Linked DNA regions of Schizosaccharomyces pombe. The gene in region 1 interacts genetically with each later gene. Each region holds a gene or a part of one and is shown on either strand. Other genes may lie near its edges.

What was found.
Region 2: of stm1 (region 1) and cgs2, changing one suppresses a phenotype caused by changing the other (phenotypic suppression), as found in Schizosaccharomyces pombe (one study listed by BioGRID).
Region 3: of stm1 (region 1) and ras1, extra expression of one rescues a mutant of the other (dosage rescue), as found in Schizosaccharomyces pombe (one study listed by BioGRID).
Region 4: of stm1 (region 1) and gpa2, a mutation in one rescues a mutant of the other (synthetic rescue), as found in Schizosaccharomyces pombe (2 studies listed by BioGRID, with this or other methods).

Annotation. Positions count from the first base shown.
Region 1 is NC_003424.3:4,479,905-4,487,103, reverse strand, and holds stm1 (G-protein-coupled receptor Stm1), read left to right. Parts: upstream 1-3,904; 5' UTR 3,905-4,328; coding exon 4,329-5,144; 3' UTR 5,145-5,173; coding exon of another isoform or gene 5,174-5,211; 3' UTR 5,212-5,312; downstream 5,313-7,199. Other genes in the region: dolichyl glucosyltransferase Alg8, read left to right, coding at 1-542; endodeoxyribonuclease Pnu1, read left to right, coding at 1,110-1,391, 1,508-1,754, 1,830-2,269; TIM22 inner membrane protein import complex subunit Tim13, read right to left, coding at 2,638-2,739, 2,783-2,851, 2,910-3,026; SPOM_SPAC17C9.11C (zf-C2H2 type zinc finger protein/UBA domain protein), read right to left, coding at 5,174-5,211, 5,370-5,946, 6,092-6,199; scs22 (VAMP/synaptobrevin-associated protein family protein), read left to right, coding at 7,193-7,199. UniProt on the Schizosaccharomyces pombe protein: Amino acid transporter that moves basic amino acids across the vacuolar membrane. Appears to function as an arginine/histidine antiporter.
Region 2 is NC_003421.2:1,807,564-1,815,525, reverse strand, and holds cgs2 (dual-specifity cAMP/cGMP phosphodiesterase Cgs2), read left to right. Parts: upstream 1-2,882; 5' UTR 2,883-2,894; coding exon 2,895-2,984; exon of another isoform or gene 2,985-3,045; coding exon 3,046-3,054; exon of another isoform or gene 3,055-3,100; coding exon 3,101-3,513; exon of another isoform or gene 3,514-3,965; coding exon 3,966-4,494; 3' UTR 4,495-5,189; downstream 5,190-7,962. Other genes in the region: SPRY domain membrane protein, specificity factor required for ubiquitination Ear1, read left to right, coding at 43-1,191; coatomer delta subunit Ret2, read right to left, coding at 5,267-5,542, 5,613-6,016, 6,075-6,114, 6,159-6,161; wtf antidote-like meiotic drive suppressor Wtf18, read left to right, coding at 6,992-7,130, 7,369-7,641, 7,690-7,962.
Region 3 is NC_003424.3:2,015,648-2,022,234, reverse strand, and holds ras1 (GTPase Ras1), read left to right. Parts: upstream 1-1,603; 5' UTR 1,604-1,746; coding exon 1,747-1,752; exon of another isoform or gene 1,753-1,823; coding exon 1,824-2,477; 3' UTR 2,478-2,773; downstream 2,774-6,587. Other genes in the region: protein Ddb1, read left to right, coding at 1-1,011; leu5 (coenzyme A transporter), read right to left, coding at 2,886-3,866; signal recognition particle subunit Srp21, read right to left, coding at 5,294-5,394, 5,537-5,726, 5,779-5,850; SPOM_SPAC17H9.06C (uncharacterized protein), read left to right, coding at 6,097-6,587. UniProt on the Schizosaccharomyces pombe protein: Participates in the process of sexual differentiation and the determination of cell shape. Essential for mating and for recognition of the mating pheromone, but not for vegetative growth. Does not regulate the intracellular cAMP level.
Region 4 is NC_003424.3:2,513,929-2,522,918, forward strand, and holds gpa2 (heterotrimeric G protein alpha-2 subunit Gpa2), read right to left. Parts: upstream 5,312-8,990; 5' UTR 4,388-5,311; coding exon 4,267-4,387; intron 4,104-4,266; exon of another isoform or gene 3,862-4,103; coding exon 2,918-3,861; 3' UTR 2,125-2,917; downstream 1-2,124. Other genes in the region: SPOM_SPAC23H3.11C (glucosidase), read right to left, coding at 1-921; SPOM_SPAC23H3.12C (hydrogen/potassium transport protein), read right to left, coding at 1,265-1,945; avl9 (LAlv9 family protein), read left to right, coding at 7,770-7,822, 7,881-7,989, 8,106-8,990. UniProt on the Schizosaccharomyces pombe protein: Alpha subunit of the heterotrimeric guanine nucleotide-binding protein (G protein) involved in glucose-induced cAMP signaling.

The DNA.
Region 1 (7,199 bases):
TATGTCTCGGTCTTCAAATCACTGTTTTAATCAAACTTTTTATTAAACCCACATGGCGGGTTTTCGTGGGAGCTGTCACTCTATGTGGTTGGATAAGTTTTTTGTTTGGTTGGCACGTACATGAGAAAGCTATTCTGATGGTAATTCTGCCATTTAGCATATTGTCTTTAATTGACCGTCGGTACTTGGAAGCATTTCGTCCATTAGCGGTTTCTGGTTACCTATCATTACTTCCCTTATTATTTACTCTTAATGAAGCCCCTATAAAATATTTGTTTACAGGTGCTTGGATTGCTATGTTATTAACTTTTGACAAATGTGCGCCTGTTCCAGTTAAAAGAGTTTTCTTACTCAATAGAGTAAACATTGCTTACATTTCAGGATTTGTACCTCTTTTCATTTATAACTGTTTTATTCACAAGTTGGTTATGGGTGACAAATTTGAGTTCTTACCTTTAATGCTTTTAAGTACTTATGCTGCATGGGGTATTTTCTGGTCTTTCGTTAGTCTTCTCTGGCTTTATTTCACCGATTTGAAATGAGATAATGATATTATGATGTGCCATAAAAAAACAAAGGTTCCAACTCGAATAAGAAAAGCGATTCTGTTTTTAAGCTTGATTTAGCACAGATGAAATGGAAATACAAGGTCATTTTCATGTTGTGTTGGTTCCATAAACAAAATGTTTTGTCAGTAGATGAAATCTTAGATCTCTGTAGATGTTTTTCTTAAATTAATAGTCCCTGTCAAAAAGTCGTTTTTTTTTTAACATACTGTTGTTTCCTAAAATTGGAATTATATATTTTTAAAATTAATAGATTTACTAACACTTTTTCTTGATAATAAGCGTGAATTTGGAATTATACATTCTAAACATCCACAAATGAATCACTTAATTGACTTTTATATTTAATGTTGTATTATTAATCGTAAAGAGTTAAATTTTTCTTACTTCAGAAACCTCGTAAAATTAATGTTTAACAATATATTTTTAATATTCTTCTTGGCCATAACGATAACTCCCAATTATTTAAAAACTCACACGCAGTGAATATTCCAATCTTCTCTTTACCTACACTCCCACTTCTTTTAATTCCCAATCGACGATATGTCTAGTAATCTTATCAAATCTTTTGGATTAATAGCAATTGGAGCGATCTCGGGTGTAACTTTCACGCATTTTTATTATAAAGGATATCAAGGATCCGATGTACCAGACTTGACACCCAGGTATACCAAATTTGACTCTGCTGGTCGAGCCTTAGAATCTATATATGATTTTAATGCCACCAAATTTTTTCAATACGGCATACCAGGACCAGTGGCAGACCAAAGGGTAAACCATGGCTATATGTCTGTGTTCGATCGGAGAACACGAAATCCATTCTATGTAAGCAAAAACACCGTTTCCTAAGCTTTCTTTACCTAGGAATTATAGATCACGGCAATAGATTAAATGTTTAAATTTCTGGTCTCTCGGAGTGCATTATATTAATAATAAACTAGACAGCGGAAACCATTACACAAGAATCGTTGAACCAACGCAAAGGCAATCGCAGGTACTCTGAGTTCGTTCCAGATGATAATATTCCTGAAATGTTTCAAGCAAAGTTAGGAGATTACAGAGGAAGCGGTTATGATCGTGGTCATCAAGTACCTGCAGCAGATTGTAAATTTAGTCAGGAAGCAATGAACGAAACTTTCTATCTTTCTAATATGTGTCCACAAGTGGGAGATGGTTTCAATAGAAACTGTAAGCAAAAACTTAACGAGACTTTTTCTTTTAATACATTAATAAATTTGACTAGTTACTAACTATAACAATTAGATTGGGCATACTTTGAAGATTGGTGTCGACGCCTTACAAGTAAATACGGCTCAGTTACCATAATGACGGGACCGCTGTATTTACCTAAAAAAAATGAACGTGGACAATGGGAAGTTCAGTATCGAGTAATTGGCAATCCTCCCAACGTCGCAGTTCCTACTCATTTTTTTAAAGTAATCATTGCAGAAAAATCAGGAGAGCCTACCTCAAGTCCATCAGTAGCTGCATTCGTTCTTCCCAACAAACCTATTGCTGACAACTTTCCGTTAAAGAACTTTGCAGTTCCCGTTGAGGTTGTGGAACGAGCAAGCGGATTAGAGATCTTATCAAACGTACCCAAGGGTAACCGAAAACAACTTTGCAGTGAAGTGGTGTGTCAGTTAAATGTTAAGGAGTTTGTTGAATCAGTTAAACAAAAACAAAAGAATCAAGGTAAATGATAAGAATAAGGAAATTTAATGAATCTCTAGTTTTTCTAGTTTTTCCGGTGATCGTTCTTTATTATGAAAATATTTAAACTGTTATTTACACAATAATACTTAAATGCTACATGTCAAAGAAACAATTATAAGTATTTTACCCAGTAGTATAACAACACTTGTAAGTGTTTAGCATGATTAGGAAAAGAACATGAAACGAATTTTAATTGCTGAAAGTTTATAATTATTAGAGAGAAAGCGCGTGAGCTACGTTGAAAAGAAAAATTTCTACGTTGCATATTAAGCTTTGCCGTCACTTCACAACTATACAACAAGACACATATCATAGGAGAGTAAAACAAAATGATAGAAAAAAAAATCATTATTATTCAGTTGAGATTTTTCTGCTCTCGTTGCATACGAGAGATATAGGTTCGAGAAACAATGTTCCAAGCATCCATATAGCGTTCCATACATTTGGAAACGCAAGACTTTTGTCTAGTTAGAATAAAAGTATTTTAATAGTTCTCATACCTTTTCATTGGGATCGAATGTGGAACCAGGCTCCGGGATACATTTATCAAAACAGTTCTCATTGATTTTCTAGATAAACCGATTAGTTAAAACATTCAATAAAACATAAAAAATGAATGGAGCATACACTTATCAATTCGCCAGCTTGAGCAACAGCAAGTTCCTGACGAATTTGTTTCATGAAAATGGATTTTTTGTCTTCAGAAGAAGGTGCATTTCCACTATTTCCACCGAAAATGCCCATTTTGTTTAAGTATAACGTTAAAACTTATGAATGTGGATAATTTTTACTCCTTTACAAGGAAAATTAATGAGGAAATGGTACGTTCGTGGAAAGTACCAAACGGTGTACTTAGGGAGACTAATTCAGAAACCGGCCATCATCACCAATTAGACTTCGTTAATAGAAAATGGATTTTCTAATATGCTGACATATGCGATACAACCAGACAGCAATCTTTGTTTTGTTTTCTACTTGGTATAAAAAAAAAAGATTTAATAAAATATTTCTAAACTAATGGATAGATATACTATTCGGGTCCTTTTGGTGAGTTTAGAAATAAAAGTTTTTTCAGCGTTTTTTTATTATTATTATTTTTAATATTTTAATATACGAAATGAATCGTTCATGACTTTTCATTACCCTTGTTTAGAAAAAAAAATAAAAATCCCAATTTGTAAGAAATTTTTATAGAGTTTTATAGTCTCGAAATTAAATCATGGAATTAGCACATCTTTTACTGCAAATAATCTGAGAATCAAACAAGTCACGTAAACATTTCAATGTTTAATACTGCTAGCGATATTATGGTGTATTAAATTTTATAACAAAAACGAGTTAGCTTGACATTGATAAAATTAATGCGACTGTTATTTACATTGAGAATTATATTGTTAAGTGAAATAGGATTATTCGAAGGAAAATCTATTTCGCTTACTATTCCTTTATATTTCTTTAGAATGATACCTTTGGATTGACTATCAATTGTATCTGTAAATCCACGGACACTTTCTTAATTCTGCGAAACTGCATGGGCGGCAAATTTTTCTTATCTTGAAATCTCTATATAGCCTTGCCCGAGGTAAATAAATAACAGGACGGCTGGGAGGTTGATCTTATCCAGAGCCAAACTCACCACCAAATCTCTTCTGTTTCTTTACAGTGGGAGAAATATTGTTTACCATTGTTATTATTATTATTATAGATATTCCTTTTAGTGTTTATTTTTTAAAACAAAAAAAAATACTTGTAACGAATTTTCATTAAGTATCATCTCTTGGATCGCTAAAATAAATCAGCGAATATTATAGTGCTGAAGCATTACACGTTCGAGGAAGTTGACAAATTTTAATAATTGCTTATCATTCCTATTAAATTAATAGTTTGATTTCCCTTTCAGGTTGCTTCGCTTTTGTAGCCCTTTGTTTCCCGTTCTTTTTATTTATTGTCCTCCACACTCATATAAAAAACTTTGACCATAAAAAGCTTAGACAAGCTCTTCTCAAATTCATTTTAAAATTATCTGTTCGCAAGCATTTTTGTCCCATGTCTGTGATAGCTCCTTCTTTTGATATGGCTAACATACTCACGGAGTTGTCTTCATTTTTAGGAGCATTATCCCTGGGATGTTGGGTCGTTTTACTGATCCCTCAATTACTTGAAAATTATAAAAACCAGTCTGGTGAAAGTATCTCTGATTTATTTTTAATCATCTGGCTTATTGGCGATTTCTTCAATGTACTTGGTTCCATTTACGGAAATGTCTCTTCTACTGTATTGGTTCTCTCATTTTATTACATTGTCTCTGACAGTACCCTACTTATGCAAATTTACTACTATCGTTGGAAAGCTGCCCGTCGTATTGCCAGTCGTGAACACGAACCCTTACTCCAAAGTCGTTCATTAGAAGAAGGTCTTCATGCACCCATTGGTAAACAACAAATTTGGTGGGATCGCCTTTCTACCCGTCAACAATTTGGTGTAATGGGATGTGTGGTTATTGTCTCGACAATCGTTGGAAACTTAATTATTTCTAGTGCCTCTTCTGACAAGAGTGATGATGACTTGAATGCATGGCCGTTTACTGCCGGTTGTATCAGTTCTGTGTTATACTTCTGTGCTCGTATTCCTCAAATCATCAAGAATCACAAAGCAAAGTCTACCGAAGGATTATCCATTATCTTTTTTGTGTTGGCCTCTGTAGGAAACACTTCATACGCTTTCAGCATTCTCGTATTTCCCGCCTCCGATTACTTAAACTACACATATGCTAACCTGCCTTGGATACTTGGCGCGTTCAGCACCATCTTCCTTGATATATATATCTTCTACCAGTTTATCAAGTATCGTAATCATTATTAACACAGCATAATTATCAAAAGGTCATAACTTTACCATTGCGGAATAAGAACGGCTGAGGGAAACAAATCTATGCAAGCGTTAATAATATATTCCATGTCTATAGTTCAAAGTTTTCAGAGGAAACAAAGATATGTCGTTTAGATGCTAGTAGCAACACAATATTCTTTCAAAAACATGTATTCTAATGTCACACATGATGACAGTAAACACTAGTTTGATACTTACCAAGTTGGTTAACCGGTTTATCAAATACATCAGTGCCGTATGAGGCACGGGGAAAGGTAGTGGTAAACTTAGTTGGCGGTGACACGTTCATTTTCTCAGCGACCTGTTGTGCCAATTGGCGTAGCGTCTCCTCAGCTGCAATAGTTATATTACAAACTTGACCATCGTGTCGGATAGAAAATCTGCCTGATGTAGGAGGGGTGCGAGTACAAGTAGAAGACGAATTGGCATTTTTAGGCTGCTTGATGGGAGCAGCCGTTTCTTTTACAGAAGAATTCTTATTTTCCCGTTCTGCAGCTCGTCGTTTTTTATCGCGTTCAATTTCTGCGAGGATTTTCTTACGCTGCTCAGCATCTTCAGCCTTTTGTTGACGGATCTTTTGCAAGTCACGTAAGCGGGCTTGATCCTGCATCTTTCTCATAGCCTGTGCAGTTTCATCATTGGATTTTTGAAGGATTTTATAATTTGTCTTCTTCTCTTCCAGAGCCAAAATCCTTTCTTTTTCCTTTTTCTCCTTTGCTTTCTCTCTTAAAGCTTCAATAGCTTGTTTTAACTCTTCGGGAGAACGCTTCTTAATCTATGTTTTATAATCGTTGTTAATAAAAAGAAAGGATCGAGTGAAACAAATTATTGTTTTCGTGAATTATAATAATAAGGATGGTTAACAATTCGAACGCTTCAACCATTCAGCAAAAAGTAAAAGGAGTAAAATCTATACATACCTCTTCTTCAGTTTCCTCAAATTGATCATGACTGGTTTTGGTACTATGAAATTCAGCCATTTCGATGGAGGAAAGCAATTTATCGCATTCCAAACATTTCAAAACCATTTTTGTGTAGAGTTTGTAGTTGCAAAAGGCAAATTACAATGACGCTCAAAAATAGCCCTACGTTCCATCGACTCAACATCTAACGTGCTAATATCTACAATATCGTATTACCAAACATCGCAGTTGAGAGCATTATAAATTTGTTGGTCATTGAAATAGAAATGACAGGTCAAATGAAACAAAATAATTGTAGTTACCACCGATTACGCTATGAATTAGAAGAATAAATGATTGTATATATTGCACGACATCCGCAGACCGATGATTGAAAATGATTACTGACTTTCGTGATCCTGTAGTTGGCATCCACTCGAGTAATTCGTTTCCTTTATACATGGTATGCTTTCTAAAGCATCGCTGATATTCCTTGAAATAAAAATGTTGATTTTTCCCTAGCATAATGACCATTAACGAAAGTATACAATATCTATTTAATGATTGTCTAAACCAAAAAACGTATTTCCTTTGAATAGAAAGTGTAAACGAATGCGCAATTTTTTTTTGAAATCATAATGTTTACTTCATCCTTGCATTCTTAAGTTGTAATTAAGACAATTCAAACGCATTAACATGACATTTAGAAATTAAAAAGGATAACTTGAATCATCCTTTTTGGGTATTTATATCATTTATTAATTTCACAAACAATAAATCCATATACTTATTGGGATTTTATAACCATACTGCATTCGTACATTATTCACCTACTGCAAAATATTTTTTAGCATATATTACTTTTTACTTTCAAAATATCACATTTATTTTAATAATATCGTTATAAGGCTTTGTATAATATCGATGAAAACAGTTACTTGAATAATTATCTCCTTTTATTTCAGTATCCATATATTACCATAATCTTTGCTCAGCCTCGGAAAATCACACACAAGTATGTGTGACGTAAAGCCACGATTTTTGGCTACACTGCGAAATGGTACTTCGCAGAGTAAAGTAGTACCACCTCTCGCAACAAACTCGCCTTTCCCGTAAATCATGGCTC
Region 2 (7,962 bases), on another chromosome or scaffold:
TTCAAATCTTATATAAAAAATTATTTTTTGCGTCTTTGAGTCATGCATCCCGATCAGATTCGCCAGTTGAGATTACAGGAATCTTCAAACACCCATCCTAATTTAGCAATCCTTTTCATATTTATTGCATTAGCCGCTGTCATTGTTCTTTTAATCTGTCTTTTGTCAGTCATCTTATTACTGCGATACACACGACATGGACGGATCTTGCTGAAAAACACCAATCCTGGTGAGTTGGACGACGAAGCGTTAGAGAATGAACATATTGATGAAGAAGGATTTAGTTTATTGGATGATATGGGGAAAGAACGGTATTTACAAGCTCGTGAGTTTGAGTTGAATTCCATGAAATCTAACGTCAACACGGATGCAAAGCTGCTTGACTTCCTACAAGTTCAAGAGAAGGGCGTATTAGCATGGCACTTTATCCCAAATCAGGAATATAATTGCTATGTTAAAAATAAAACTGAATTGTCTTTTTTGGGCAACGAAGAATGTTGCATGCAAACCAATTTGCCTTTGCAGAGGATCAATGAAGTATACTATTTTGAAGTAAAACTTTTAGACGTACCTATTGATACCTTGGTTTCCATCGGTCTGGCTACCAAGCCATATCCGCCGTTTCGATTGCCTGGTTGGAATTTTTGGTCTACTGCTTATGTGTCGGATGGAACACGCCGCAGTAATTCACCATTTACGGGAAAACCGTACTCCTCTTTCTACCAGCAGGGAGATGTAATTGGTGTTGGTTACAAACCGAAGTGCAATCGGATCTTCTTTACACGTAACGGTCGTCGGTGTGCAGAACTGCCGTGTACATATCGAAATTTGTATCCTACGGTTGGTGCAATTGGACCTTGTACCTTACATGTCAATCTTGGACAAGCAGGATATGTATTTATTGAAGCAAACATCAAGAAATGGAGACTCGCTCCTGCGGTTGGAAGCTTGGCTCCTCCTCCGTCGTATTCTACATCGCAGCCAACTATTAGTTGGGATGCAGCTAGTGAGTCTTCAGCGGGTACAACAACGCAGGGCGATACAAATAGACCCGACAAATCGAAAAATAGGTCACCTCCAATAAATTTTGATGGTACCTCGTATGATGCGGCTGGTAATGTTTTCAGTCCATCATCATCCAACAATCAAGCTTATCAAATGCACTCCATGCCTGCTACCGATGAAGTATAAGGAGTAATGTATAGCTTAGCACTAACAACCTTCACGCCAAAACCAAAGATCAAGTTGTGGAAATGTTTGTGCGTTGTGTTTCAAGTTAGTCCTAAAATCGAGAAATGCACTTTGTATATGAATTGAAGGGGATGTGTTGATGTTCAATGTATTTATTTTCTTTATAATAATTTCTTCAAAATTAGTTATAATTATTAATCTTAATTAAATTTACTCTATGTTTATTCGCTCAATTAATAAAAGGTTATTCACAATTTATTATGATTTTTCGTATAATGTTGCTATTGAGTCTATACTGTTAACATCAACCTTCATCGAATTCCGCTGGTGAGAAGTTTTAACGGAGGAATTCATAGGGTTGTCAATCCTGATAATGAAAGTGTAAAAGGAAATTTTCGAAAGCGCTTTTTTACATTTCTAATTTTGCGTAGTGTCATAAAATGCAATTCCTGGTAAAAACAAAGCCGCTTAATTATTAGTCTTGTTATCTTTTGCTGTAATAAAAGGAAATCTACCTTTTTATTCCAAAGGAACAAATAAAGCAATTCGATACTGCAGTGTGACATTCTTTGTGAGTAAAAAAAAAAGGGAGTAAAACAGAGAACGTATTCAAGTAATATTCTGAGAATTGTTTCTATTTCAAACTTTTATAGCAAGTTTCCAATATGCCTTTAGGTATAGACTTAATTGAAAAAAGACCGATCATTATCAAAGGGAAAATTGGGATATATTGCTAATTAAAATATCTACCTAAAGGCTGCTATGCACCTATGATGATTTCTCTCCATAGACCAACAAAAAGTTCAATGGAAAGCAATTTCAGCGGCACATACAAAAGATTCTTCAAATAGGTAATTTAGGAATGTTTCTTTTGATTATCTTGCATAAAGGAAAAGGAGATCATATTTTGAAAGCTCTTACAACGATTACCACCCTCCCTAACTGATGCAAACTGGTTCTCAGCAGCACTGACTGGAACTATCTAAGTACTCTATGAAAAAGTAAGAGTTAGTTTAGCATAATCAGATAAAATGACTGGGACTTACGAATCCTCAAAGTCCGATAAAGAACCAAGTTCATACGGAAATCTATATTACACGAGGTTCAGTTTTTTGTATGTATAATGAATTATTATTTTAAAAAACATATTAGTGTCCGATAGTTTACAATTGTTTGCTAGTCGGTCTCTTAAAGAGAAGGGCATAAACTTCTGCCGACATTGTTAAACAAGCAACAAAACTTCCCCTCAGAAATGTTAAACGATAAAAAAAGGAAACCTCTGGAATTATATAAAAAATAGCTCTCTCTCTTCTCGTTACGTGACATTCTTTAAGGGTGTATATTGAACCTTCGGAAAAATTGCTCTCATAAGGAAGTGATACATGTCAAACGTGTTTCATCAAAGTCGCATTTTTTTTCTTAATATCTTACTTAAAGCAGCAAAGCATAACTTCGTTCCTCTCCACTTAACGACTTCCATCCTTTTATTTATTCATAGCATACTTCTTCACCAAGCGGGCACATGAATAAGGATAATTAACACACTACACTATACCCCGAGTTTCTCCACATTTCGAGCATCGTTTATCGTACCCTAAATCTACGGTAGTAAATGTATGCTTGTAATAAATATGACGTCAACCGACATGTTTTTGTAGACTAGTGCATGCACCGGAGATCTGTAACTCTCCATAAGCCTAGCCATGCATGCAGCACTCGAAATCAAAGAAGCTGAATTTCAAACCGATCAAGTAGTAGGACTCGTAGAAAATTCTTTTACATTATATTCATTGGTATGAAAAACGAAAAATATTTTTTTTTTTGAAGAATTTCGACTAACGTTAACGAAAACAGGGACAAAATGTAAGAATTCAAACATTATGCATTGAGAGCCATGCTGACTTATTAGGGGGGTCCATTGGAGTCTTGCTGTAGCAGTCATTTGATTTCTGATGGCGCATTTCAAGAAATTATATCGCTGGATGGTGGAAGCCACCTATCGGCGTTGGTTGAGTTGATCCAGTCAAAACACCTGTCCGTCGATTCTTGGTCTTCCATCACCAAGTATGACAATTATACGGTGGAAAATGAATCATACGCAAAAGCCTGGCACCTTTCAGAGCAAAGGATTAAAACGTTTCTCATCACACACTGTCATTTAGACCACATCTATGGAGCCGTCATCAATAGCGCCATGTTTGGTCCTCAAAATCCTAGAACCATAGTTGGGTTAAACTATGTGATCGATACCCTAAAAAAGCACGTGTTTAATAACTTATTATGGCCTTCCCTCGACAAAGCCGGATTTATTAATTTTCAGGTGTAAGTAAATTCTTTCTCAATAGCTTCTGTCAAATGAAAATTTTTTCATTGTTTTAGTGAATAGGTTGAGGGTTGGGAAGGCAATGTTGAGTTTTGAAAATTTTTTATTTTCTTCATCTTAGTTGAAGAGATGTATGCTCGTCTTTTTTTCCTTCAAATCTATTTGCTGAACACACATTTATATATTTTGCATATATGTAAACTATCTGCTGACGCTTTGGTTGATTTGCATGGTTTCATGGTACTTGTGCAATTTTTTTTGTGAGACAGTGATATTATTTGAAAGATTGCAAAGATTGCAATAATAATTATATCTCTTTTTCTTTCACTGTTCTAATATCTTTTGTTCTTGTTCAAACAAGTTAATGAATTTAACTCTTATGCGAATTTGCTAAATCAACCCCATCGGCATTTCTCTTTCTCATTTGACAATGAGACTAACCTCTTTTTAGGGTTGAGCCTTCCATGTATACTAGTTTAACGACTACTTTGTCTATATTGCCCTTTCCCGTTAATCATGGCTCCTCTTTCGGTCAAGAGCTAAAGTCGTCTGCATTTTTATTTAGGAATAACCTATCCGACAGATACTTTTTGGCTTTCGGGGACGTCGAACCCGATATGGTAGCCTCAGAACCGCTTAACATTCATATTTGGAGAGCTTGCTCTAGTTTAATTGCTCAAAGAAAGCTTTCTCATATTCTTATCGAATGCTCCACTCCTGACATCCCTGATACTCTTTTGTTTGGTCATTTTTGCCCTAGACATCTAGTGAACGAGCTTTGTATACTCCAATCTCTGGTCCAGAGTTATGGCGTTATCATGCCTACCCTTACGTGTTTGCTCACTCATTTGAAATCACATCCTCTTCAGTCGGCGAATCCTGCCGATGTTATATTGGAGCAGTTAGAGTCGTTGTCTTCCAAAAGTTCTCTTTCAGTCACATTTAAAATCCTTCAGCGTGGTCAATTTTATAAATTTTAATAGCATCCCAGGGTCATGGTCATATATTCATTATATTTTTATTTTTTTTTTTTAATTTCTTTTAGGTTTCTCCATTTATTCGTTACGCCCTTTTATCCTTCCGCCGTTGCCGCATGTCTTTCTATTATTGAGAATTCTGTTGGAGGAATTTTGACTTTGTTGTTAATTATTGAATGCTAAAGCAATTAATTATTACCTTTTTTTATTTTTCATTACCAGTTCATCGTACCTCGCTTTGCTGGTTTACTCTCATTAGAATTTCACGCTTTTCTCATCGGACACTTTATTTTCAAAAATAGAATGCTTTTTCTTTGTTTGCCAATCTGCTTTACTTTTTAAATAGATTTCTAATTTGGTTTTTTGTTGTTGTTGACGAGGTTTATAGAACGATGGGTTAAAAGTCTTAACCAGATTATATACTTGAATAAATGGGTTATATTATATGACGATTTCTCTGTTCTAATATTGTTTACCTAGAAACAAGAGGAAGCATTCCTAAAGGGTAGCGGGTATATTAGTTGAGTGATGAATCAATATAGGTTTGCTCTGCTTTTTTCGATTGGATAGACTAGGAAGTATTCTGGAGGGTATGAAAGGAACAAAGTGTTCTATTACAGTTGGTAATGGTCGACTCTTGATTACGATGTTTAATTTGGGATAGAAAAATGATTATTATTTCTAGTTATCGCATATGATCGTAGGAAAAGCACATTACAAAGGGGAAACGAACCAAAACGGATGCAATGATCATAAAGGGCGCTGGAATAGTAAATTAATATAACAAGCTAGTATTCTTCTTCTTTCCAAGTTGCATTCCTTTCGCTTTGGGAGCAGAAGAAGCCTTTGCTGCAGCGTGATAAGACTCCATGGCAGATTCGTCTTCAACATTAGACGTAGCAAAGGTTGTATTAACTGTTTGATACCCAATGGATTCATACGCATCTGCACTGGGAAGATTCTGAGCCGCCCGTCTTGCAGCTTCTTTCTTTTGTAATTCAAGTTGTTTGATGCGGCGCTTCCTTTCTTCAGTTGCTTCAATTTCTTTGTTCTAGAAAGTGCATTAGTAAAACCATACAAAAAAAATTTCGATGACTCCACCCCTATGCTTCAACACGTACTCTTGATACAATTTCTTGAATTTTCTCTTCGTGACTCTCCATTTCCAAATAAGTTTTGATCTGTGTCAAAGATACATTGTCTCTGTAGCCAAGGCTGGTAGCTTCGTCAAACGCAGTAAAGATTTCAAATGCATATTCCAGAATCTCTCGTTCTTCAAGCGACGAACAAATCGATGTTACCACTTGAGAGAGGAGATGTAATGTATCAATGTCTTGCAAAATATTAGATTGTAAATTGGTGATCAACACGATATACAGTTCGTCCAACGGTTGGTATACGAACCTGACGTTGTCAGACTCCACCGTGGTATTTTGAGACTTTTCCGAAACGAGAGCGGGGAAGGAAGACAAAAGGCTTTCTACTCTTACACGAGACATCTCACGAAATTGTCTCGAGATGATGGCTAAACAAATTTACTGTAAGCCTCAAGTCCTTGTTAATAGCTAAACTACTTTTCATACCTTTTCCCCCACGATTCACAATACTTACTGCCAGGACGACCTACCCTTTGTTAAAATCAACACGATAGCATGAGACCTTCTTACCATTTTTTGAGACTCCTAGTAATAAACCACACACAATGATATGGTGCTAAGTAAAGGGTAAACGCTGCGTTATGCGTGTAAGCACGACCAACACAAATACCGCAAAATACTGTGATACATTTAGCAAAACCAATAATGCTTTACACGTTACTTACAATACTGCAACATGTTACGCTTCCCTAAAGTTTGACGCTATTCTACGTTATAATAGGATTCGTTACGTATCACTATATGTCACATGTTCTTTTGGTATATTGTATTACCGATGATACGATATTGAGATAAATTTTGATGGAAATAGCATTAAGATCTATATTATTTGAACAATATAATTAGAATCCCAACTGAACCTCACTCCTCACACAATTGTAAGCTGTATTTGTGATAGGTAACAATACAACTTAATAGTACAATACCTACTACCTGTGTATCGTAATATCATAGGTCACAAGGAAATTTCACCGCAGTGCTATGTTTCGTTAAACCAGATACCAAACTGCGTAGCTGACATTATATTATACTACAACGTTTGCTTCTCAAAAACGTTTAAGGAAAGCTAAGTTGGGGTGAATAAAAAGGGCAGTGACAAAATAAATGTGTCAGAAGCAATTCACTGCCTCGTTCAGTTTTTTCGTTCTTCTTTTTTTATGCCATTGTTTGAAGGAATTAGTTGGAAATTTGTTTGAACAATTTTATTATTTTGTTAAAAAGTCTTTAAAGCGATTGGAATTGGACTACAGAGCGAATATTCTTGATTTCGCTGTTTCGTTTGTCGCAATCACAGCAATTAATTCGCGCATGTGTTTTATTAAATAAAGAATGATCTTGATGAAATGAAGAATAATTACACTTCCTTGAAAAGTCCTCTAGATGAAGAAGATGAACTGAAGACAGATCATGAAATCGATTTGGAAAAAGGGCTACTTCCAGAATATAATTCAGAGGAAGAGGGCACACTGCCTCTATATTCAGGTAAGAATTGTAAATAATAAGAAAGGAATTATTCAATTGAAAGTTGTAACTTTCTATTGCTGTAAAATAATTTGGATGTGATCATTGTTTACAGTTGGCATATCCAACACTTGATCATTTTCAAACATGCGCACATTGTATTTACTCATGTTATCAACTCAAGATAAATCATTCATAATTGAGATATACATTTTACTCATTCTTTAAATATTACGCTTTAGGCTAACTATAAATGCAGACATTTCGAAACTTGCTAATCCTGTACCTGAGGATTCAAGTACAGGACCTACAGAAATTGCGAATCCCAATGTCGAAAGAAGACAAGAATTCAAAGATTCACATCCAAATATATATTTCCTTCTGAGACTACTAATATCAGTTCTTGCAGTTAGTGTTGTCTTTTTTACTGCATGGGTTTGTGTAAACCCGTTGGAGAAGTCGATATTCGGCAAGGTAGCTTTCTCCGTCACAATTGGTATAACATGTCCAATATTGTTTATTGCTACTTTCTGTAAGCTATGCATGAAGTTGTTAATACGTCCATTCACTAACTCATTAGGCTTCTTTGAAACTTGGACCCAGGCAGTGGCACAATGTATAAAGGTGACTGTAATTTTCTTGGCACAATGTGTAAAGGTGACTGTAATTTTCTTGGCACAATGTGTAAAGGTGACTGCAGTTTTCTTGGCAAAATGTGTAAAGGTAATTGCGGTCGGTTTGTATAACTCAAAAAAAGATTTGGTGGTTACAATCTGGCTCGCATGGGTAGTCATTTGTTTTATACTCTTTGGTTGCGTCAAGGATGGTAGACTAAACTTAAATAAGGCACTCA
Region 3 (6,587 bases), 2.5 Mb from region 1:
AGAGTTTACGAAAAAAACACTTTAAGTGAGATTGCTCATCATAAGTTTAATGAATATGAAATGGTTGAAAGTATCATTTTAATGAATGATGATAAACGTGTGGTTGTGGGCACAGGTTTCAACTTTCCAGATCAAGATGCCCCAGATTCAGGCCGTTTAATGGTCTTTGAGATGACTTCCGATAATAATATCGAAATGCAAGCTGAACATAAGGTCCAGGGATCTGTGAACACTTTAGTTCTGTATAAACATTTGATAGTCGCCGGCATTAATGCCAGTGTCTGTATTTTCGAATATGAACACGGTACTATGCACGTAAGGAATTCTATTAGGACACCTACTTATACGATCGACATTTCCGTTAATCAGGACGAAATCATCGCAGCAGATTTAATGAAGTCTATTACCGTTCTACAATTTATTGATGATCAACTAATAGAAGTTGCCAGAGACTATCATCCATTGTGGGCAACATCCGTTGAAATTTTGTCAGAAAGAAAGTACTTTGTAACTGAAGCAGATGGCAACGCAGTGATTCTTTTGAGAGACAATGTCTCTCCTCAATTGTCCGATAGAAAAAAGTTACGTTGGTACAAAAAGTTCTATCTTGGTGAATTGATAAATAAAACTAGGCACTGCACATTTATAGAACCACAGGATAAATCCCTTGTCACACCACAGTTGTTATGCGCAACAGTTGACGGCAGCCTCATGATTGTGGGTGATGCCGGAATGTCTAATACTCCTTTGTTACTACAGCTGCAGGATAACATTAGAAAAGTTATACCTTCGTTTGGAGGCTTGAGTCATAAGGAATGGAAAGAGTATCGAGGTGAAAATGAGACCAGTCCATCTGATTTAATTGATGGCTCTTTGATTGAGAGCATCCTTGGTTTACGTGAACCTATATTGAATGAAATTGTAAATGGTGGTCATGAGGGTACAAAGCTTGATATTTCTGTTCAAGATCTAAAAAGTATTATTGAAAATCTTGAGAAACTACATCCTTAACGTTTTCTATCAATTCTGTTTTTGCCGCTAGAATGTAATTTTAAGACTATATGCAATTATCAATGTCTCATTGTATATTTATAGCAAACGAAAATGTTTTTGAATGAAAATCTCCACTATCGTATCTCTTTCCACGGTCGATAAAACGCATGAAAGGAGTTTAACATATACAAAATAATATATGGTGCCGACCTCTTCATGCATGTATTGCGAACACTTGAGCAAAATTTTTAGAAGCTTTTTAATTTTAATAAAGAAATATTTAATGTTCAGTATAGAAAGTTCAAAAGCAATACTTAAATTTGCTGCTAATTTGGTTAAGTTGGGCTGAATAGGGAATTCTTCAAACAATACTTCGTATGCTTTTAAAGGTAGACAAAGCACTAATGCAATATATCTGTCAAATACAAATGGCAGAATTTTTGGTATTTTAATAGAAGATCAAATGTTTATTGATGGATTTAACATAATTAGCTGTTAACATTAATATTTCGTTTTTATTGCACCAGATACCTTTAAAAAATTATAACTTCTGAATTTCTTTATTACTAGCTTGTCGGTTTGCCATCAGTAATTGTTGACTGCATTACTTGAAAACTGCCAAACACATTTTAACGAGCTTAAGACCAACCAATATTTTTTAATTACCAAGCCTACACACTTTTTGTATTTTGTTTTAAAAGCAACCTAAAGAAATATACGATTAAACTTAGTGTGCTTTATAAAATAGTGAATATGAGGGTAAGTCTAAGCAATGACTTGGGGTTATCTTTTATTGATTACAACAAACTAATCAACGATAATATTTATAGTCTACCTACTTAAGAGAGTACAAATTGGTAGTTGTAGGAGATGGTGGTGTTGGTAAAAGTGCTTTGACAATTCAATTAATTCAATCGCATTTTGTTGACGAATACGATCCTACAATCGAAGATTCATATCGGAAAAAGTGTGAAATTGATGGTGAAGGTGCGCTTTTAGATGTATTGGACACGGCCGGTCAAGAGGAATATTCCGCTATGCGTGAACAATATATGAGAACCGGAGAGGGTTTTTTATTAGTTTATAATATTACCTCTCGGTCCTCTTTTGACGAAATTTCTACATTTTATCAACAAATCCTTAGAGTTAAGGATAAGGATACATTTCCAGTCGTTTTAGTGGCTAATAAATGCGACCTTGAAGCTGAACGTGTAGTTTCAAGAGCTGAAGGCGAACAACTTGCAAAAAGCATGCATTGTTTATATGTTGAAACTTCGGCGAAGCTAAGGTTAAATGTAGAAGAAGCTTTTTATAGTTTGGTTCGCACGATCCGTCGCTATAACAAATCAGAAGAAAAAGGTTTTCAGAATAAGCAGGCCGTCCAGACTGCCCAAGTTCCAGCTTCAACTGCTAAAAGAGCTAGCGCTGTAAATAACAGTAAAACCGAAGATGAGGTTTCAACTAAATGTTGTGTTATATGTTAGCAAGTATTATTGCAGAATATTTGAGCTGTTTGGTGAATGCACCGTTCCTGTCTTTTGTTTCATCTCTTTCTTTTCATTTCAATAATTGTTTTTTCATTTAACACAATTATTAGCAGCTATCTTTAAGTACTTCATTTTCCCTTTGAACCATTTGCACATCTAGTTTTGGCTGCTAGTATGATAGCAAATTATTCAATTCAGAGTTGTGGACTTAGAAAAAACGTGTTATTTGACTTTGGGTTGCTATTTCTTGTTCCGTTTTAATAAAATACATCTCTTTCATTGCATGGTCACGATGTAACAATCTGCAACTAATGAATATATCATACACCTATAATCCCGTAGATCTTTTTTTATAAATTTTTAAAAAAGGGATAATTTTTTTCATAGAAAACTATGTCTGCAGTCTCAATCTATCCCTAAAAGCGCTTTGCTGTGATTGTAAACAAAAAAGCTAGTGCTTACCATTGGGATAACCTTAATGTAACCTATGGTAAGTCCAACGAAAAAACCTCTCATACCGGCTTCTTTGTAAGTAGTTTGTACTACCTGCTTAAGTCTAAGAAATGATTTATTTTTTCTGATACCACCAATTTGCATTTTTCGTCGACAAACTTCGAATGGGTAAGAAACCGTTTGACCACAAACTCCTGCAAATGCTCCACAAAGTAGTTCGGGCCAAGTTTTAAGTTTTTTATCTGACTTTTTTGTAGAAACCCATTCGTCAATTTTTTGTTTATGAAAAAAATCAGTTGCAAGATCGTAGGCAAGAAACGACATACCAGCATATGGAAAGATTCCAGTTAACGTAACAGAAAATCCACGATAAAAATTACAGATTTTTGACAAACGGGATAACCCAGGATACTTCTTATTGCACAAAAAATCACGTTCGTGAAATATATCTTTTGTAACTTGAGTTAGGGTAGGATTCTTCCCTGTATTGGTTATGTAGGCTAAACGAACACGAATCAGCTCTAACGGGTATGTAAAAAAAACAGAGCAAGTTCCGGCAAGTGATCCTGATAAAAATCGCCGAGCATGTGTTTCATGTTCAGGGTCACGAATTAAAACACGCCGTACTTGTTCGTATGCAACAAATTTAATGCCCGCATAAGGGAAGACTCTGTATAAAGTAGCAGTGTGGCCTTGATAAAGACCGTGTAAGCCATAGACGTGGTAAATGTGTTTGATAGCCTTATAAAGCCCATGCCGTGAATAAGCATACCCTCGATAAGAAGCGTGATTGGTTTGGTAAAGGATTTTCACTCTATCTAATGGGGCAACTACTGATTTTGCAACGCATCCAGCTGTACCACCAGCAATTCCAGATTTGACTAAGAATTCCCATGAATCCTTTTCCGGATATTGGGCAGTTGAGTTAGGCATGTAGAATCCCTGAAAGTGTTTAAGTTAAATAAAGAGGGGATTAAAAAGATAAATGGAAGGACAAAACTTTTCGTACCAAATGCCTAAACATAAAAAAATTGTTAAAACTGAACGTTTTCAACTTCTTACTACAAACAAAATTACATGTAAATAAGATTTAGCATCAAATGTCCAAATATCTTGGATCAATAACAGTGATTGAAGGAACACGAGAACACTTATAGTAGTAGCAAACAGTAATCTGAATAGAAAACACTTCAGATTGTCCAACAAGATTACCTATAAAGCAATCAATTATGCTTTTGAAAGAAAATGAAAGTATCTTTTAGCTTCTGTTAGAATTCCAGTAAGCCCATAGGTAAGGTAAAAAAAAGGCTGTAATTTAACAAATATATTTGTAGGCTAATAATAAAGGATCAAAAGAAAACCAATCCGTTGCTAAAAAATAAAAAATTAAGCCCCTGAGTATCCCAATAATAAATAAAGAAAGGCACTCCTAATGCTCAAATAATTGTTGAGTTGCCGATTTTTTGGTGTTAATGCCCACAGCACTGGAAGGTGGAAATTAAGCAGGCAGTAATATATTTCTCATAATTAAACAAAAACGTTTACTCAATAGCTTTGGAGATAATTGATGATAATAATTTTGTTTAGATCAATCATAGATTAACATAATAAGAATTTTTGAACTATGATGCTAATTCTCTCAACCTACATAAATTGGTTTATGAACAAAATGGTAAACAAAATGTGATAAACTTAAATAAAGATACTATTAAGGTGAAAATGAAGTTGTGTCTATACATATCCATATTAAAAAAGTTGCTCTAGCAAACTTTAAAAGGAAAATTGCTTGTATATTGAATATGAAGTTCACACTGTAGTAAACTAGTTTTTGTGCAATCGGTAACTGTAAACAAACGATATTTTAAAAGCAGAAACATCAACTTTTTTTACTTATTTGCTAATGCAGTAAAACTTTTCATCCTTGTCTAAACGATCTGTCCTAGCGAATGAATAATGAAATTCACCGAATAAAGATTTTTGTACTAAATAATATGTTACCAACTGTGCATAAAGGAAATATTATATTTTAGCACTTGAAATACCTGTAAATGAATACACATGCTTGTTATACTTTTATAACCAATCACATCGGTAATACCAATGCGAATGCATCCTTTTGATTATGTATAGCATTTGCAAATAAAAAATGATATTAAGAAAGAAGGGGCCATTATTCATGTTGGTCGAATAAGAAAGTACAGAACGACTGACTTACACTGCAAATTATCCTTTTTACCTTTATTGATAAACCGAGAGAATTGCTATTGTAAGATAAAAGTAAAGAATTAATCCGATCCTAAGATATCTAACGTGACACTAAATGAACAAAATGAAAAAAAAAAACACGCCAAGTGCTACACTCATTTCTTCTTCCCCCTTTTTTTTTTCTTTGAACCCTTAGGAGGAGCGGAAGGCTCCGCTTTCTTTTGCTCTGTAACCGGAGAAGCCACTACCTCTTGTTCTATATAACATGACTGTTAGCGAAACGTAAAAATTAGAAGAGCATAGTTACATTAATAACTACTTTTAAAGGAAAACATCTTCCTTCCAAGCGCTTCTTTTTATAACAATGCAAAAACAATTGATATACTAATAATACATACCTGGTTCAGGAGGAATTTCGTTACCTGTGGAGACATAACTAAGTTTGTTTGCAATTAGAAGTAATCTGCCAAGTTCAGCCGCCTTGTCAGTCCTATATTTTAGACATATTCCAGAAGCACTTTCAAAGGCTTTCGCGATTAAATAATTTTGACTCTGCTCATTCGTGCGATATTTGATACTAAGTTTGGTCTAAATGAAAAAAGTCAGAGTTTGATTATCAAAGATATCATCAACACCATACCGTTTTTGGATAAGCCTCCGTTAATGATTTTGACTGTGTGAAGAACTCATTCACAGTTTGCAGGTAAACCATGGTATAGTGGCTGATGGTAGGATCAACACATCAGGCATGCACCTCGTAGTGTTGTCTGAAACACAACTAAGTTATATTTGAGTCAATCGAAGGTTACTAAAATTGAATATAATTCATCCAAAAAACGTAAAAGCTTTTTTTACTATTTTTTCTACTTTTTGGTATACTATATTGGTTTTTCACGTATAACAAACTACTGAAACTATTAGTCGACAAATCTGTCAACTTAAAACATTCCCCTAATTTATGGTATCAAATCAAGACAATGTACAGAGAAATGATGTTCAAAAGTATCCGATAACTAGGTTTGTAAAGCGAAAGAGCAATGTTGTGCTTAAAAAGAACAAAGGAGCTATGAAATCGAATTCAAATTCACGCAGTAGAGGGAACAAAAAATTAAAAGAATCCCAATTTTCTTCTCGAGATAATTTTAGAACCACTCAAACTCAAGCATCTTCGTCAAGTGAGCCTAGTGATAACACGAACAGACTAGTTCCGGTGGTAATTATTGATAATAATACTCCAAAGAAAGAAGAAAGCAATGCCGAAAAGTTAAAGTTAGATAAAGATTCTTCAAGCGTTAATTATGAGAACCAAATCAGCAAACCGCTTATTACTTTCTCCGATATTCACGAAACCGTCAACGTTCCGTTTCTTTGTTTAGACAAGCACGACTCAAAAAATGAGGTTGCGATTAATTCACATGAAGATTCGCCTGTATGTCTTGAAGATATCAC
Region 4 (8,990 bases), 2.0 Mb from region 1:
CATTCCAGAACGAAAATTCAAATCTCGGTTCCAGAATGCATCGAGTTGAATGGCTAATGTTCCATTAACGGTAGTAATTGCATCAGGATCATACCAGTCTAAATCATTCGTCGCAGCATAGTGAATATTAACCGCTTCCCAAAATTGATCATTTCCGGAATAAAAAGATCTTCCTTCTTTGTTAAATTCGTCAGAAAAAACCAAATTGTATTTACGACCGTTGTACCCGGTTCTGTGATACGCTGTAGAGGGCGTATCCTTGTCAATCAGGTTCGTGCGCGGAACACGCATGTGCGCAAACAAATGGTCAGTTATTTGATTAGCCATTATCGCATCAAACTTTTCTTTACTCGGAGTAATATTTCCAGTGAATGTCAAAGCAGGAAAAACTATGAATAATAATCCTATCCCAAGGGAAAGGACGAACAGAAAGAAAAGATCGCAAAAACGTGACCAACCCAAATAATCTTCTTCCCCCATTAAACTAACAACTGATGATTTTGGATCATGAAAGTCATCATCCTCTTCCTTAGATCGATAAACCCAACTTAAATCAATACTACTAAATTGAGATGGGCTTAAAAAAGATTTCTCCCTCATTTTCCAAACATCAGAACCCACTCTGCTTCTCGGTACTCCTAAATGTTGATGATCTTGGTTATAAAAAGGAGGATAGCGACTCAGTTCTTGAACATGAATGAGAGATCGAGAAAGTTCTTTGTTTGCTAAAGGTACATCGTCCTTACGAAGTAAACAACTAATCTGAGGCAATGGAGAAGTGCTTGAAGATCCAGAAGTTTGCTCTGAAACATTTAAAGAAGATCCATAGCTAGAAGGAAAGCTATCTTGATCAAATGTCAAAAATGGGTTTTGAGCAACTCTCTCTGGCTGCCTAGGTAAGTCGCTATGACCTTTTTCCATGAGAATATATATTAATCAAGATATAAATATGAGAAGATTATTTTTTAAAGGAAAGATGGAAAGAAGATTAAAAGAAAGAAAGAACCCCAGAAAAGAATGAACGATTGCCAACCACTAATAAGAGAAAGAACAAAAGAATGGGAGTTTTAATATTTAAAATAAAAAAGGAAGATGTTTTCTTGATATAAAATTCCACTCCTCATATCAGTTTGGGACTTTCTTTTTACTCATAGCTGCGCAATAATGTTATGGCATAACTATGACCGGAACGACGATTGCACACTACTTAGGTCATTGATTTTATATGCAAAGGACTTCATAAAATAGAAGGAAAAAAATATTCTTATTTGATTATTTTTGATTTCCGTTGCTCCTGAGCAACGGCACGTTTGTAGCGGTCCACGAAATCCGGGTGGCCTATGAGAGCGTTTAATGGTGTAGCATCTCCATTTGTAAACAACTTCAATGCTTTTTCTAGTTTTTCACTTTCCTGCATTTGAATGTTTTCTATGCTCATTACCCGAGCTAATTGAATAGACCCTTGAATAGCACGAAAATTGCAGTATGCTCTATAACAAAGATAAAAACCCGGAATATTTGGTATTAGAGGTATGAGAATGAAAGGTATAGTCAATGGTAATCCAATAATATTACCAATAAGGTAATTTGTATGGGTCTTTTGTAATTGTTTGGACCGATTCAACTCAGCTAAAATAGTACTTGATTCCAAATTTGGAGGATGTTCAATATACAAAGTTTGGTGTAATTCTGTATCATTTAGCTTCTTAACAGGAGCAATCGCCCTTAAAAAATTTTCTTCATAAGGAGTTGCATGCAAAATTCGGTTTCCCAAAGACACAACCTTTTGTTTGGTATAGCTTTTTGAAGCACTCCAGGAGTCCCAATACTTGTAAATTCTGTTTATAATTTTGTCGTGAATAGTAACTTTTTTGGCAAGGTATTCAGAAGGATAACAATGTAAGAATACCCTTTGATTTGGCAAAGGAAGTGCAATAATTCTCATAATTAGTTAACGAATGTACTTAATTGTTTTTACAAAATAAATATTGAAATAAATAAACCTGCAGTAACACAAAGATGGGTGGATATACTAAAGTAGAAGCTAAAAGTGGGTAACGAATATCTATGTAGTAGTATTACTATCTAATTTAATCAAATTGATACGTATACAGAACAGTGCGGCTTTTTATTATACATGGCAGAAATACACGTGTTCAATAGCTTTTTTGATTAGTAAATTAATATATTAAAGAAAAGATACTGAAAGTCGGTAAAAAGTATCAGTCTCTGGTGCCAACAAAGAGAGACAACAATTTTGATGATTCAGTGAAATAGTCTATACAAGTAGTCTAACAATTAAAAACTAAATACTAAAACAAAAGCGATTAAATCATGTATCCACTCAAAGTCTCTTAGTACTCAAACGGATTTTCTACGACCCTCATAAATAGCAGCATTAAGTGATAGCAATAGTTCTGAAAGCAGAGATAGATGTTCGAATCAAAACTGGAGATCTACTTTCTCAATCTTAAGACTATGTTCAACAGAAAGTATTCAATAACTTTAAAAGCATTCGCCAGCAGCATCGTTTAAAGTAAAAAATTAAATGCAAATTGATATTCGCAAAAATGACAAAATATTTATATCAACTAGAACTGTATAACTTGGTCATCTTAAAGAGATTATTTAATAGCAATCTGTGAACGTTCTGAGACAACTGAAAAGGAGATCGATCCTTTTCCTTACAGACAAATCGGTGATTTCAGATTCCAGCAGCCAATGTATATATTGGAAAAATATTTTTAAAGAACATGTGTAATAAACTCCGGACAATATTAAAAAAAAAAAATAAACGAATGTAAAAGAAGCGATTCTTACAAGGAGGCTTCAGAACTCTCTAGACATATGCAGACAGTAAGAGGTCTTCTGTTAACATATGAATAATGGTAGGGTAAATTTTATCTTCAAATTAAAATTAAAACATTCCCGCTTCTTTCAGACTGTGTTGTAGAATTGTTTCCTTAACGGCAGAAAAGACAACCTTTATGTTAGATGTGTCTACAGCGGTGGTAATGTGAGGATATATATTATGCTTAGCCCGATTTATAGAAGGGTTCACAAATAACCAAAGAATATACCGGGTAATACTTTTAACAGAATTTTTACCTTCATATTGGGGGAAGTAATCCTGGAACGGAACATGTTCCAGTTTCTTCCGAAACAAATCAAATTTGTTCAAAAACAGAATGATAGAAGAATGCATAAACCACTGACTGTTTATAATAGAGTCGAATAAAGAAATACTTTCAACCAAACGATTGCGTTCTGGGGCGGCTCTTTCATAAAGCTTTTTATCATAATCATTTAAGGAAACACAAAATATGATTGAATTCACATTTTCAAAACAATAAATCCATTTCCTTCGTTCGGTTCTTTGACCACCAACGTCGAACATTCGAATTTGCAAATGATCCAATGTGAACGATATTTCCGAAATACCCAGAGTACTATTTCTAGACCGGAGAATGTCATCTATTGTAGGGACATAATGCCGACTGCAAATTTCATCGGCTCGCGAAAAAAAGTAAGGGGCAGAGTCAATGAGTACGGAATCATTTCCATATGTACAGGATCTAACACTATTGGCTGACCAAAGACTAGTAATAGCTTGGCCAATATTAGCATTAATAAGCTCACCAGGAGTTGGATTAAATTTTTCGATTATCTCGCAATTGTGGGTTCCTAAAGGGTCCAAGTTGATACCTTTTTGAACGATAATTTTAACAAGGGTTTTAGCAGATTCCAACAGGTTTCGTCGGATCACCGGAATAAATGTCATAATCTCTTCTTGACTAAACCCATTTTTGTTGAGAATTTTGATTTGCTTACTGATGGTACTTTTTCCACTATCGGAGGCACCTAGAAAACAATGGTTAGACTGACGATTGTAAGAAACAAAGGAAGGAAAATTTGCTATAGGAATCAAACAAAAAATCTGTGCTATGCAATGGAGAGAAACGGTAAGAGTGTAGAGCAACTGATTACAACATGCAACGACGACGAAAAGTGGTTAACTAGAAGAACGTTATCAAAGTCACCTTCACTGACTGAGTATTGAAGGGAAAGGGTAACCAAGAGTAGAGAACGTAGACGCAATTAGACAAACCATTTTCTGTCATTTCTTAAACAGTTTCTCTGTTTCGTAAATAGTTTCACTCATTTCGTTTCTTTATTTTTTTTCTCAATCTTTTCTGCTTTTTTGCTCGACTGCCCAAGCATATATAACTATTGAACAACAACAACAACATTGAGTAGTTTACGTACCTAAAAGCAACACTTTGTAAATCTTTTTATCCTTCTTCGAGGCATTTTCAATCTGCTTTTCGATTTTGCTGTTCAATTTTTTTGATTCACCGCTTTCAGATAATCCATTAAAAATCGTCATTTTTTTTTAATCCACTACTGCAGAATATAAATACGGGGATGTAGTAGGACACCAAACTTCTCAATCCGACAGCTAGCGGGTTTTTGGGATAAGATGGGAGAAATAAATATGAAACAAAGTAAGAAGGTTAAACGCAGGTAGGTAAGGTGTAGCAGCAGAGAGGCGAGGACTTTCCAAGAAAAGCCTTCAATCCAGTTCTTTTCCCAATTAAAGCAAAGATTAAATAATAAAATGGAAAGAGAGCAAGTTAGAAAGAAAAGTGAAACGCAAATAAATAAAAGTATTAAAAAAAAAGTTGAGGTAGCAAGTATGATTAAGTAGGAACAAGGGTGCGGGTGTCAAAAGGGGATATTACAGAATAGGAATCAATAATCAAAATATTGATTAGTCAGTCACTAAACTATACGCGCAAAGTTTGATTAACCCCCTTTATGGGCGACCTTTAAATCGCAATTTCAACTTTTTTTTGAGTTTCACCAGATGCCTCGAAAAGCAGGGGGTGGAGGAGAATGAGGAAGGATCGCAGGTCGGAAGCTAGCCGGCTAGCTAATTGACACAGTGAGTACGAGTGAATACCAAGGTTGATTAAGGCAAGAAGAAAAGGCTGAAATCAGTTGAAGAGATGCAGCGACAAATGAGAAACTCGTGAAAATTGATTTCTCGTCGTCTTTCGATGAACGAGAAAAAAATTAAGAATTGTACAAGGAAGAAAGAAGAATTAGAGGCAAAATATCTCAATTCTTACTACTGTCCAACTAACCGAGTGTACAATTAAATCCTTACTTTCAATTCACACTACCCTAAATCCAACAAGCAGCAGCAAAAGGGCAAGCGTTTTGATGCTTCAAACAGCTTAAGTAGCTAACAACTATGGTTAGATTGGTACCTGAGCGGTGATTTCGTCTATACTATTTCGAAAAAGACAGACGGCAACTCTGGTATAATTTGTATTTATGAGGCACTACGTCATGCATCATCCATTTACGATTTTAATTTTTCGAGTGGGGTAGAGAGGACAGTTCGGAAAATGTAACATTGGAAAAGGATCCAACACATACCACCAAACAAGCATCATTCAAGTAAAGAAGATTGGAGTGTAAGTCTTACTCTTCGATTATGACCTTGGGCGAGGGGAGCAGGCAGTAAGCTGAGACCTGTGTGAGCTTTGCATTCTATGTAAGTATCGCATAGAGAAGCGCCGCTCATCAAAATAGTTTTTTATGTTTTATGTTTATATGTCATTAACTGGTTGGTCCAGCATTTCTATACTACTAAACTATACTGCTCTATTACTACTCTAGTAACTCAATGAGTCGTCCCTTGTTTATGGCTGAAGATGCAAGCAATCGGGATAGCAAAGATGACCAAAGGAAGTGTTCCAAAAAACGCGCAATCTTTCCAAGCAATGTTTAATGAGTGTTTTCCCAATCTGAGTTTGTTCACTTTCATAATATTTTAAATTTTCAAGCCCCAATTTTACCAAGTTCAATTCCAGTTACGGAGACTTATTTACTCAGATATGAAAGTAAAGTGCACAAGGGATAAGGCAACTAACTTGATCGCAAAGCGTGGGCAGCTATCACAAAGCTAGAAAGAAACATATAAAAAATCCATAGACGATTGGGTACCAAGATGAAGCAAAGCATGTTTTCGCAACTGACCAGTTTTACCTGACAGTCGGAAAATTTTTCAGCTGTATAAAAAAAAGAAGACATGGGGACTTGCAAACAATCTAGAAAAAAGGGATTTTTGCGTATCTAGAACAAATGTTAAACATGAAATGGGGTCTTGAAACTGAATACAGCGAACTAGACATGCTTTTCGCCCCTCCCCCGCTTGGTCCATGAAAACATTACTAAGTATACCCTGCTACCATAACTCCTCTCCTATTTCTCATTGCTCGATAAATAGCACAAAGCAGCTTGACACTACAAACTACATTTCAACGCAAAAAAAATAAGGAGGACTTTGTTAAACTGCTCATCGTTCCTAATTTCATTCGGTTCCTTAAATTTAATGGGTAAGAATGGTAAGATATCCTGATGCCGTTACTTGCTGGTTACTTAGTCTTGGAGGTTCGGGAAGGACTGCATTTGCCCCGCTAAAATAAAATAATCTTCAGGTGAGATAGAATTAGCTAGGTTTCGTAATGTTTATGTGGTACTGAAGTCAATCCGTTGTTGTTCGTTCATTTATTCATTACATACTAATAAAAGCATGTACTAGTTATAAAAAAAAGTCTTCCAAGATATTCACATGTAGTGGGAGGGTTTTTATATTGTTTTGTTTTTTGATGGTTTTTTTTTTTTTATAAAGATGAAATTCTTATTTGCGTAAGTTTAATTTTTGCTTGATTATAGGTATCCTTGACAATTATTGAATATGTATCTTATATCTCTTATATATGTGTATCTTATATATCTTGCATATCTTGATATATCCCGATATATTGTGGAAACTAGTTTGCCGGATCTGTTTCATGTTGGTTTTAGGGCAATAATTTGAATTATGAGCAAGATGCGCTTCCCAGTTTAAAATAAAACTATGTTAATTTAATTCAAAAAATTATTATAAGAAAATAATTGAATAAATCAATCATTAGCTAAGTCAATATTAGAAGACAACGGAAAAAATATAGAGTAATCTTGTTTTTTCCTAATTTTTTTCTTTTGCCAGTTGGTTGAGAATATGTCCAATATCTATATTTACAGTGTGCAAAAAAGTGGATCATGAACAACCGACTTTCTGATTTTCTAATCTATTGTGAAAACGATGAAAGAAACTGTTTTTCCAGCTACTGTTCTTTCGCTGTGGCTTTTATTTCTTTTCAAGAGTTTTAGCTTTCTTATTTTTTGTTGTAAGCGTATAACCCAATGCTTACTCTCGTCCATAACCGCGTAACCGTATAACCTTCGACTTGATGACTACTACTTCTTATAACGAAGCTGTTGGCTTATCCAAAGGCCGTACGAAAATAAATAAAAAATCATCTTATAATTCCAAAAATTAGAAAATCTTCAAAAATTTATGCTTTTACCTCATATGCTCTTCCCAATAGTCTTCTAATACTCATTTCAACAATGAAAATGCATGCAAAAGTAATGTTAAGGCAAAGTTAGGTAACAAACGTTGATACCTAGTCATACGCGTTTACACTATACCACCCATGTTAGAGACGCCCGTTGATGCTCTGCCAAAACAATGTAAATGGCCGTTGAATGCACAACTAGCTTTTTAGTTTTATTTATTTAAACAGCAATTGTATCTTTTAGTATTGAAAATAACTGTTTGGTATCGTTTTGGAACATTTACTTAGGAGGATCTTTAGTGAAATTGAATTTTGGTACTCAGATACAATCTTTTGGATTTCGTTCAATGCGATATGGATGAAAATGGTGCAAGCTTCCAAGTCCTTTGCTTGGCAACTATTGGGTTGTAAGTATCTAACGTCCTCGTCTACACAATTTAGTAATCTTGGCTAACGTAGTTGCAGTCATCATTTACGAGGTCCTGAAATAGAACACCTATTTCCAGAATCTATGGATTTTCCCAAAGAATGGTCTATCTTACCTTTCCTTTCTCTTCCAGATGGTGCACACTCGGTATGTATATCTCATTAATTTAAAACGTACAGTGAAAATGGATGGATCAGTTTACAACCCGTTCTCTCCATTTTTTTCTCGAAAAATTGATAAATAATTGGCTAATGCAATTCCAGAGTGAAAAGGATTTCGTCTATTTTACACTTCCCTTTCCCAATGACGAAGGAACCGTGTTTGGTTTATCATGCACCAGACAACTTAACGCTAGCAGTTTAAAAAACATACCATCCGATGTCACACGTTCTAGTGTTCAAAAGGCAGTTGTAGTTATCACAACTTCTCCACCATTTGGACACATCAAAGATAATCTAGATATCGTAACAAATGCTTATTTTTCTCAAGGCGATTTTTCGAACTTAGATGTACTACGAGATTTTTTTCATGTACTCACTAGGAAGGAGCAAGATGTCCACATTGCTCTTAACATCAACTTGAAAAGTTTTTTGTGCGAATGGAGACAGAATGCTCTTGTTCTACTAAAAGTTCTCTTACTGGGAAAAAGGATTTTAGTGTACGATAAAAGCGCTGAGCGTCTTGGCAATTTTCAATATTCCCTCCTTTCTCTCATTCCCTGTATGATGTCTCACCTACAAGATGTCTCAAGTCCAAGCGCTCATTCGTTAGAAAAATCACTTCACAAACCTGCATCTTTACAGACTAGTGACAAACGATCGTTGCTTGCATACACAGGCTTTCCGCTCATTATTTTTGGTGAAGGAAGTATGTTTTCTCCTTATACACCGTTACAGCTGGTGCACGTGTTAGAAGCTAAGTCTTCTACCAGTTGGTTGGCTGGCACCACTAATACGCTTATAATGCTAAATCAGAATAAAATGGCTGAAGTTATAGTGCGGTCAGATACTCATCAAATTGAGTTTGTTGATCCTACCATTAAAAATTTAACGTCGCTCACATATACAGATAAAAGTTGGATGGAAGATATCATTTCACGGGTAGAAAGTTCATTGGAAATGGAACTACCTGGATTTGAGGGCAGTGAC